Linked DNA regions of Xenopus tropicalis. The main gene of each other region encodes a partner of the protein of the gene in region 3 in a complex. Links are inferred from orthologs where the notes say so. Each region holds a gene or a part of one and is shown on either strand. Other genes may lie near its edges.

Region 1 (3,704 bases), on a different chromosome or scaffold from region 3:
GAAAATCTTGCAACTTTTTCATCGCCATCGCGTTTTTTTTTCGTATTTTGCGTGATTTTTTCGTCGCCGTCACGGCTATCATATTTTGTGCGACTTTTTAGTCGCCATCGCGGTTTTTTTGTATTGAGCAATACGTATTGAACCAATCCGATTTTTTCGCGACGGCGACGAAATAGTCACGACAATTTGTGAAAAAGTTGTGACGGCGACGAAAAAGTCTTGACAATTCGCAGAAAATACCGATCATTACGGAAAAACGCATTCGGACGTTCGTGGATTAGTAAATGTGCCCCTAAGTGTGGTTTAGCAGAGGCAATTCTCAGTATTGTCTTTGGCAGGGTATTTTCTGGGGTTTAGTAGCCGTCACAAGTAGCTGCTACTAAATAGCTCCACGTGTCTTTACCCAGAGAGGATCTAAACCCAAAAACATTTAGCATAATTTAAGAAGATTTAATTTAAAGCAATTTTACATTATACATTACATTTCAAATGTTCAGCGGTCTTAGGGCTCTGGCACATGGGGAGATTAGTCGCCCTAATCTCCCCGTGTGCCAGAACCCTTAAAGTTATTTGTAAATGTCATTGCTACTGAAAATGATATTTCTACTATAAATACCTTATACACACATAATGGAAAGCTGGGAGTGTAGGATAGCATAGAGATGTTTTTTATTTCATTATACAAAAAACATTTTACGGGTATAGATTACCTTTAAGTTCAGACTCTGAATCTTTAATATGTTTTGTTTTGTTCTTTTTATTAAGGTGATTTGCATTAACAAATTTCTTGTTTTTGTCTCTTCTCAGAGATTTACCGGTACCTTGTTGTTATACATCTTTTGTTACCATTACAGAAACCTAGCAACCTTTTGTATACAATTCTCTCTGAATCGGCTGGGCAAGGTTTGTGGGCAGGATCTTAAAGTGTCTTCCTGCTGGGTAAGCATTTCTCAGTGAATATCACTTTGTTGTTCTGCTGAACAGGATTCATTGCAGGTAAGGGCCACTTGCTGATATTTGCTGTTTAAAATACAGTATGTTATAGAGTTGCGTATTTGGAAAGGCAGCATGTGGAAAAGGAAGATGGCATCGTTATCATGGGCAGCCCCTGCAGTTGCTATGTCTCCACTATCCTCAGGCTCTTCAGTGTTGCTCTAGGCCTGACTGGATACCTGCATCTAATGAGAGACAGAATCAGAAAATAATCAGTTTGCAACGAAAGGTAATCAGATATAGGATATCTTATGATAAGCATACAGAGCAGGGTTGAATGGCTCCTAACTATGCAATGCTGCAAAACTACTTTGCAATGGATTGAAATGTAAGAGGTCATTTACAACCTTAAGTTCAGCGTGCAGTTTTTGATGCAAATCACCATGTTTTTTAATTCAAACTTAATTGTGGGCACACAGCAACTTGCACATGCTGTGTCAAAACAAACAGAATTGAGCAGTGCAGCTAACATTTTTTAAGAGTTAGGATTGCATCACTTCCGAGAGTCAGCATTAAAATTACGTTAGTGTTTAGTTCTTTTGTCACAATTCTATTGCACTTTGGTTCATCACAATAAGCAGGATGAGGAATGACACAGTGGTGCTTGGCGCAACTATACAGAAGTTGAGGAGGTGTTACTTTTAGGACTTCTTTACATGTTACATCAACACACAAAACTAATTTCTAGGGATGCACCAAATCCAGGATTCAGTTAGGGATTCAGCCAAGATTCGGCCAAATCCACACTCCTGGCTGAACCGAATCCAAATGTTTTCTAATATAAACCTGCCGTGGTAAATCACAAGCTGAAGAGCATGCTGTTCTTTGAGTGCCAACTATTATACTGGCATATACATTTTTGTTCCTAGAGCATTGCACTTTTGTTCATAAATGAGCACTAGATTGGTGTCCAAACTATTTTTATTAATACAATGCAACATTTTTCACTGTCTGATTTTTACTATAATATTGCTTAACACACACACACACATATATATAGTGAATAATGTACCCTCTTTTTTAAAATATAAGGATAGCCATTCCACAGAGGAGTTTCGTGACCATGAGTTCTTATATCCTCTTATTTTACAACAGTGGATACATTTAGTTATTATAAATACACAAGTTTCAGTGAGCCATGTGTCAGAAATTACATCATTAAGCATCGTTATAACTGATGCCATCACTAAGCATAATTTTTAAGGATATAATTATATGATATTCATGGCACTTCTGTGTTATACATATAGGGGCTGATTTACTAAGACACGATTTCGAATCCAAATTGGAAAAATTCCGATTGGAAATGAACATTTTTTTTGCGACTTTTTCGGTAATTTTGTGATTTTTTCGTATTTTTTTCGATTTTTTCAGCGTCTTTACGATTTTTGCGTAAAAACGCGAGTTTTTCGTAGCCATTACGAAAGTTGCGCAAAGTCGCGCCTTTTTCGTAGCGTTAAAACTTAAAAGGCGCGACGTTTCGCGCAAGTTTTAACGCTACGAAAAAATCGCGACTTTGTGCAACTTTCGTAATGGCTAAGAAAAACTCGCGTTTTTACGAAAAAATCGTAAAATACGAAAAAATCGCAAAATTACCGATCATTACGAAAAAAACGCAATCGGACGCATTCGGCCCGTTCGTGGGTTAGTAAATGTGCCCCATAGTATATATAAACACAAACATATATATATATAGTGTACTTATGTCTTGCACAAAAAAATCAATTATAATTATTATAGTCCAGTGAAATTCTTTGCATTTAAGTATTGTTGTGCTGTAGGGTTGCCACCAGCCCTGTATTTCAAGGATTCAGATTCAGTTAAAAACCGGGTACAAATCCTCTAAACTGCATCCAGTGGACACAAGTTTCCATGGGTCCTTTTGCCATAAGGCAAGGTGAGAAGTCTCTCCTTTTCCAGGGGTGGCAAAAAATACTCCTGTAATTTTACATGGAGAATTCCCAATAGCTTTCTCCATTTACATGCAACTGCAATCTCCGCTGACCAATACCCAGTCTGAGAGAAGAAAATGTATGTACAGGTGATGGAAACATAAGGGGTTGGAAGCATCAGATCTGCCTTCTTGGACAGCAAAGAGCCTTGATGTGCACCCGCAGATTTCCCAGTGTGTGGAGCTCAAGGCAATATTCTCCAATATTCTGTGTGATCTGTTGTACTAATTTACTGGACAGTTTGTAAACATTAATCTAGTCATCTAAATTATAAATGATTTAGCAATAATATGGAACAAGTAGCACATCTGTCATCATCTTGAATTATATTTAGTACCATGGCCTTAAGCTATTTCAGTTAATTTTGTTAAGGTGGTCATACATGTTAAGATTTGTTTGCTATTTATATAGTCTTCATTCATAGGTGTATAGTTATGTTAGGTGGGGTCCTTCCCTACTAGTCTCACTAGTGTTCCTGTGCTAAGGGTAAGAGAACATGGTTTTACAATAAAATAAGGCAGTGAAGAACTCACATATAATGAGGGGCCTTAGTGTGACAAGTAAACTTAAATATTTTGGGGGATGTGTGGTGCTAATTTTTCAATATTAATTTAATATTTTACATAGGCCATAATTTGTGCATTGGCAATTATTAGTATGTATTAGTTTGCAGGATTGAAATTCCACATGAACCTTTCAAGGGGCACATGGTAGTTTTTTTCTCCAAAATTATTTTCTTCTTGTGCCTTTGCATCTTTC
Region 2 (3,658 bases), on a different chromosome or scaffold from region 3:
TGAGTTGGAATGAATGCATGGATGTGCAACTAAACTGGCAAACGCTGCTGCCTGACTCTAAATGCTGCTGCCAGACTTCATCTATCTCACTGTTCCACATCTGTCACTCACTGATGCATATCTTTTTGCTGCCTCCCAATCTCCTCTAGAATCGAATACAAATTACTAACACTTACATATAAGGCCCTTACTATTGATGCTCCTCCCTATATCTTAGCTCTAATACCACAATACACTCCTTCACGCAACTTTCTGCCTCTGACCTTCGCCTCTCTTCTCCTCTCATCCCATTCCCAACTGCAAGACTTCTTCCGGGCTTCTGCCTGTCTCTATGCCTTGTCCCATCAGACTCTCCCCTTCCTTCCAAACGTTTCCTAAAGACCCATAATTATATTCAAGGTATCTAAACTGATCTGAGATTTATATATGTATCATAAATCATCAATCAGTATTCCTTATGCTAAACCTTAGCTACATGAATAATGATTAATATATACAGGGGTATTTTACGTTTTTATAGCTTAAGCACCCAGAGTGTACATATAACAGTGAATCTTGTTTACATCAGCTTACATTCTGGCTGTTGTTGTGAAAGTTACTATGTTGTCAGTTACTATACTGCAGTCGTATTTATAGAGTTCCTTTATTGATTATATTTTTTACTGGATTCAGATTTTAAATGTTTTCTGTATTCCTATTTTTATTTTAGGTGTCATAATTTAACCTACCTAAGTCTTCGCTACTGTGAAAATTTGACAGATTCTGGCTTTGAGCTACTAGGAAACATGGCCTCACTTATTTCCATAGATCTGTCTGGGACAAATATTACAGACCAGGTATGTTAGCACAAATATTTTCTTTCCTTATTTTTCCATTAATATCCCAAGATATATGGAAAATGTTGGTACAGCAGAACCTACTGCTTAACATGATAATGAACATACATATTATGAATACAAGGTGAACGTGATGGACGTATGTCTTTTTTCAACCCAACTTACTATGTTACTATGTAACTACTCCTAAAACACCTTTTTATTATTCTTATACCCCCTTATGTAATAAAAGGCAATAAGTTTGCCCAGGTGCAGTAACTCATAGCAACCAATAAGATGTTTGCTTTAACAAACAACAGATGACCAGTAAATGCTTCCTGCTGATTGGTTGCTATGGGTTATTGCTCCCTGACAAACTTTGTGCCTTTTCTTACATAAACCCTTTGGTATGCATTTTACCTTCAGGTTTAGTTTAGATTACAAGTTGATAAATGTTATCTCTAATGCTAATAGCATATCAGTTGCTTATTTCTGATGGCAAAAAAAGCCAAATCCTCTTATGCTGCCTTCCACTCCTGATAAGGAGGCAGCAGATTACATAGTTACATAGTTACATAGTTACATAGGGTTGAAAAAAGACCAGTGTCCATCAAGTTCAACCCATCCAAGTAAACCCAGCACACCCAACCCACACCTACCAATCTATACACTCACATACATAAACTATAAATACAACCACTAGTACTAACTGTAGATATTAGTATCACAATAGCCTTGGATATTCTGATTGATCAAGAACTCATCCAGGCCCCTCTTAAAGGCATTAACAGAATCTGCCATTACCACATCACTAGGAAGGGCATTCCATAACCTCACTGCCCTCACCGTGAAAAACCACCTACGCTGCTTCAAATGGAAGCTCCTTTCCTCTAATCTAAAGGGGTGACCTCTGGTGCGTTGATTGTTTTTATGGGAAAAAAGAACATCCCCCAACTGCCTATAATCCCCTCTAATGTACTTGTACAGAGTAATCATGTCCCCTCGCAAGCGCCTCTTTTCCAGAGAAAACAACCCCAACCTCGACAGTCTAACCTCATAGTTTAAATCTTCCATCCCCTTAACCAGTTTAGTTGCACGTCTTTGCACTCTCTCCAGCTCATTAATATCCTTCTTAAGGACTGGAGCCCAAAACTGCACCGCATACTCAAGGTGAGGCCTTACCAGGGACCTATAAAGGGGCAAAATTATGTTCTCATCCCTTGAGTCAATGCCCTTTTTTATACAAGACAGCACTTTATTTGCTTTAGTAGCCACAGAATGACACTGCCTGGCATTAGACAACTTGTTATCAACAAAAACCCCTAGATCCTTCTCCATTAAGGAAACCCCCAACACACTACCATTCAGTAGATAGTTTGCGTTTATATTATTTCTACCAAAGTGCATAACTTTGCACTTATCAACATTGAACCTCATTTTCCAGTTTGCTGCCCAGTTATCTAATTTTGTCAAATCGCTCTGCAAAGCGGCAGTATCCTGCATGGAACTTATAGTTTTGCACAATTTAGTGTCATCAGCAAAAATAGAAACAGTACTCTCTATGCCCACCATAGGTCATTAATAAACAAGTTAAAAAGCAGATTGCTGAATTTATGAGACGTTTTAGCTCATTAAACAGAAAGAACAAAACTACACAATTCCTGGTCAAACAAGGCTTTCTTGCCGTAATTATAAATGAAACATCAGTAGATGGCAGGCAAACCTGTATGAGCTAGTGCTTCAAACTGCAGCATATTCTAGACACAGTATAAATACAAGTTTTTCATTAAAGGAATACTGTCATGGGAAAACATTTTTCTTTTAAAACGCATCAGTTAAAGGACAAGGAATGGCTAAGTCACTTGGGGGTGCCAAAATGTTAGGCACCCCCAAGTGACTTAAATCGCTTACCTTGTACCCCGAGATGGTGCCCCTGTTAGGAGAAAACAGCACCAGCCTGGGGTACCTGTAGCACAGCTCTTCCTCCTTCCGCCTTCTCTTTTGGAAGGACTAAGGAAAGGCGCATGTGCAGTAGAGTGAAAAGCCGACTTCTCTGTTAAAGTTCAGCTTTTCACTCTATTGCGCGTGCGTTAGAAGACGGAAGGAGGAAGCGCTGCAGCTACCCCCGGGCTGGTGCTGTTCTCTCCGAACAAGGGCACCAGCCCAGGGTACAAGGTAAGCGGTTTAAGTCAATTGGGGGTGCCTAACATTTTGGCACCCCCAAGTGACTTTGTTTTTCCTTCTCCTTTAACAGAGCTTCTTCAGAAGAATCCTGCATTGAATCAGTTTTTAAAAGCACAAACAGATTTTTTTTATATTTAAGTTTTAAATTTCACATGGGGCTAGTCATGTTTTTCATTTCCCAGGGTGCCACAGCCATGTGACATGTGTTCTGATAATTTTCAGTCACACTTTACTGCTGTGCTGCAAGTTGGAGTGATATCACTCCCCCCCCTTTCCTTTTCCCAGCAGGTGATGATCAGAAGGTAGCAAGATAGCAGCTACCGATTGTTCTGCTGATCAGCTGCTGGGGGGAAGATAGGGGGTGTAATATCACTCCAATTTTGCAGCACAGCAGTAAAGAAGATTATCAGAGCACAAGTAAAAAATCCAAGTCAGCTACTTGTTTGGATTAAGTTTTACTGCTGCCAAAGCCCCATAAGGGCTCTGGCACACGGGGAGATTAGTCGCCCGCGACAAAACTCCCTGTTCGCGGGCGACTAATCTCCCTGAGTTGCCTTCCCCTGCCATCCCACCGGCGACAATGTAAGTTGCACGCGGCGGCGCGATTTCGCACAAATCGCCGAGAAAGCCTCGCGAGTCTTTTTCGTTGATTTCCCGAA
Region 3 (3,658 bases):
TAATTATTTTGCTTTAGGTGGAAAACAAAGTATTGGAGTTGCCATAACCAATATTTATTTAATATAAAAAGTGTACTTTGATGATAATGTTAAACAAAATCATATCTTTATGATATATATGACTTTGTACTCCATTATTGCCAGGTACGTGAGATACTGGCTACCCGAGCCCAGGAGGAGGCAGACCCTCAGCTTACAATATCAATCTATGACACAGAAAGAAATGAGAAAAGCAAGGAAAAAAGAGAAGCCATGGTGAGAATGTGCGGTCTCAACAAAACAGTTTTGCTAGCTTAAACAAAACAAGAGGTGGGCCTGAAAGAAACTTCTAAGTATATAATAGAAATATTAAAGTTACAGTCTTGCTGAGCTTTATATAATTTGAAGCTATGTATGCTGCAACATTGTAGGGGTTAATAAGGAGAAAGAGATTATGTGATTTCAGATGAAATGCCATCTTCCTAATGCAATTGTTCCCCAAAAAGCCTGCCAGCACCAACATTCAGTTTTATATTACAAATTAGAGTTAGGGAATTGTCTCAGATAGAGTTGTGGTTCAGGTGAATCTTGTTAAAAACTAACAAGACACATTATACAAGGTAGGAACTACACTTGCTTTACAGCAATAATAACTGGTTTCAGGAGTTTTAGTGGGTGTCTTGGTGCCACTCAATGTGTGTCTCAGCACATGTATGCATTCTTTAAATTCCATTCCAGGAAGTGTTTGGTCCTCATTTTGGAATCCGAGTTACAAAATATTTTGTTTACACTAAAAGAGCAAATAAAAGCAATTTTAGAGCTTGGTCCAGTTTTATCCAGGTCACTTTTTTGGATGTTCTCATTCTTCCTTTCAGCTGGTATTATAACAATGGAATAAAGGAAAGCTGATGTGATTCCAGTATTTAAAAAAGTATTATGATTTCCTTGACTTGAAAGTTTGTTTAGAGATCATTTTTTGGATAATAGCATCATAAGTAATCATTTGCATGGTTTTATAAAGGGCAGATCATGTCAAACACACATACTTGTTTTGTATGATTTACTAAGGGAACTTAGATAGCAGGGTTGTAGCATGTCTGATCTACTTGGGTTTTGTCAAAGCTTTTGATACAGTCACAATCTCTTACTAGGTTTTTTGGGTCTACTTTAATTATACTTCATTAATAACTTGGGTAGTGCATTGTAAGAGCTAAATATGAGGATATGAACAAACTGGCATCTTTGGCAGATGAGATTCAGTGTTGATAAATGTAAGGTTATGCACCTATAAATCTAAAATATACTTTGTATACCCTTAACAGAGAACTAAAGTTTAACTAAAAAAGTAGGCTAGAAATTTTGTACATTATGTTTGGTTCTGAACCTGCCCAAGGCAACCACAGCCCTTTAGCAGGAAAGATCTATGTCTGCTGATTCTCTGCACATGCTCTGTGCGGCTGTCAGTTACTGAGCTTAGGGATATACTGTATATATAGAATATAAATGTCACAATATAAGGCTGATTAGTAATTAATTCAGATATTTATTACATGGCAGCTTAGAAACCAGTGCAACTAGCATCAGAATGTAATAATCAGCCCTGTAGCATCAGCTTATATGACAGACAACCCCTAAGCTTAGCTTCTCAAAAGCTGCTCAGAGAACACAGAGCATGTGAGTGTCGCAGACACTTTCCAAGATGGGGAGCTCCTGTGAAACTGAAACTTTAGGCTGGTGCAACAAGTACAGTATATAAAATGTGGTATTTGTAGCCATATTCATTTTTAGGGTTTTGTGCATTGTAGTTTTGCTCTCCAGTGCTCAGAAAGATATAGATATAGAGACAGTTCAAAGAAGGGCAGCTAAAGTTCTAAAGGATATGAAAGGTCTCAGTTATAAAAAAAAGGCTACCCAAGTTGGGATGTTTACATTGGAGAAGAGGTGCTTAAGCAGGGACTATGTATAAATACAATAAACTCATTTATGCTTAATTAATCAATTCATGCTTTCAGAGGAAGTGTCTCAAGATAAGGGAGGTTTCGTAAAAGGTTTCTAACATTCAGAGCTGTTAATTTGTAGAATTCTCTATCCTTTGAGTGACTGTAGAAAGAACATCAGAGCAATACTAAAGAAGGGGCATGCCCCAGAAACGTTGTGTTACTTGATTAAACACAAGGGTCTAGTCCCCCATTTGCATTGCCTTAAATGCCAGTACCTATTTTGTTTTTCTTGGGTAGGGGAGTGCCGTCTCCCCAGGGGCTGTGCACCAGACATCATTAGTAACTTTAGAGATCCGAGTGCGCACATGAAAATTACAATAATAAAGAATGCCCATAAACACCTAGGACAAAGACCAGGACTTATGGAACAATGTGCTTTGGACAGACTATGCAAAAATTGAGCTTTAATAGCACAAACAAGCAGGAACTGAATATGCAATAAAATCCCTTGCAGTATCAAAATTACTGGCACAACAGTATTTTGTTTATTCAGTGCAAACCATGTGTAAATATTAAAATTTTGTATACACATGGTTTGCCCTAAATAAACTTACAGGTTTATCCTGCTGAAACAGCCCTGTTGTGCTAGCATTTTTGCAATTTTAATACTACTTTGGAATGTGTTGAACTATTACTGAGCACCAGGTGAAATATCAGTGGAAAGGCCAGGGTGTGCTGGTGATGGTTCATAAAATGAAAAAAAAAATCAAGGTTAAAAAAACTGCATATATCTGTACACTTGTCAAATTGTGGAATGTGTGTGTGTACTGTAAGTGTGAAAAAGCCCACCAAAATGTATGTGTTTGCTAGTGTAAGAGTCTATTTAGTGTAGAAAGCACGTGTGACTTAAAGTCAGACACAATCTAAAGGAGGTCTGCCATGTGGCCCAAGCAGGCATGGGGGGTGAGGGGTTCCAGGATGAAGACAACAGAAGATAAATGATCGCATTGCATTTCATTAATGCTACTTGCACTGTAGACCTTTGCAGGCTAATTCATTCCTAACATTCCAGCATATCAGTCCATATATCAAAGTCAGTCTCCTTATGTATTCCTTATACTGCAAGCTTGCAACTTTATTAAAGAACTGGATACTCTGTGGTGCAGAAAATTAGGAAATTACACATAACCTAACTGCTTAGGGAATAAGCAGTATATTTAAAAATGTTATGCAAAATGCATTTTAAGATACCTTGTAGTAGCAGCACATATTTGGCCCATATTGAATATGAGTCCAAAACCCTTTGTATTAATATCTTTGTGTGCTGTTATCACGTAGTTCCATTAATGTCAAATATGCACTAGATAAATCTGTGGAACATACTGTATACATAACCCATGTTGGGTCTAGTAGTTAGGACTGTGGCTGATCATATGTTTATTGTTCATCCCCAGGAGAGAGCTATACAAGAAGAACGTCAGCGCCGTGCTGTGCAGGAACTTGACTACTTGGCTCCATTCCTTGCTCAGTTGGGAGATCCTGAGAAGCTGACACTCTGGCAAGCACAAAAAGTGAAAGAAGATTGCCTGAGTGATATGAAACAAAGGTTGATAGAAAAGGCAAACCTGATCCAGGCCCGCTTTGAGAAGGTACCTGTAAAGTACTTAGTCATTACTGATCTACTACCCTAAAAGCTTCTGCTATATCCTCTCTAAACTAATCTTGTACAGTTCTTGATA

What was found.
Region 1: drc7 (region 3) and ccdc153 share a complex: the UniProt entries of both Homo sapiens proteins name them as parts of the nexin-dynein regulatory complex. The link is inferred for Xenopus tropicalis from reciprocal best matches to the Homo sapiens genes DRC7 and DRC12.
Region 2: drc7 (region 3) and fbxl13 share a complex: the UniProt entries of both Homo sapiens proteins name them as parts of the nexin-dynein regulatory complex. The link is inferred for Xenopus tropicalis from reciprocal best matches to the Homo sapiens genes DRC7 and FBXL13.

The regions. Positions count from the first base shown.
Region 1 is NC_030683.2:80,326,887-80,330,590, forward strand, and holds the start of ccdc153 (coiled-coil domain-containing protein 153), read left to right. Parts: upstream 1-807; 5' UTR 808-996; intron 997-1,046; exon of another isoform or gene 1,047-1,222; intron 1,223-3,704. UniProt on the Homo sapiens protein: Component of the nexin-dynein regulatory complex (N-DRC), a key regulator of ciliary/flagellar motility which maintains the alignment and integrity of the distal axoneme and regulates microtubule sliding in motile axonemes.
Region 2 is NC_030679.2:78,014,391-78,018,048, forward strand, and holds part of fbxl13 (dynein regulatory complex subunit 6), read left to right. Parts: intron 1-709; coding exon 710-836; intron 837-3,658. UniProt on the Homo sapiens protein: Substrate-recognition component of the SCF (SKP1-CUL1-F-box protein)-type E3 ubiquitin ligase complex.
Region 3 is NC_030680.2:76,083,229-76,086,886, reverse strand, and holds part of drc7 (dynein regulatory complex subunit 7), read left to right. Parts: intron 1-144; coding exon 145-255; intron 256-3,373; coding exon 3,374-3,568; intron 3,569-3,658. UniProt on the Homo sapiens protein: Component of the nexin-dynein regulatory complex (N-DRC) a key regulator of ciliary/flagellar motility which maintains the alignment and integrity of the distal axoneme and regulates microtubule sliding in motile axonemes.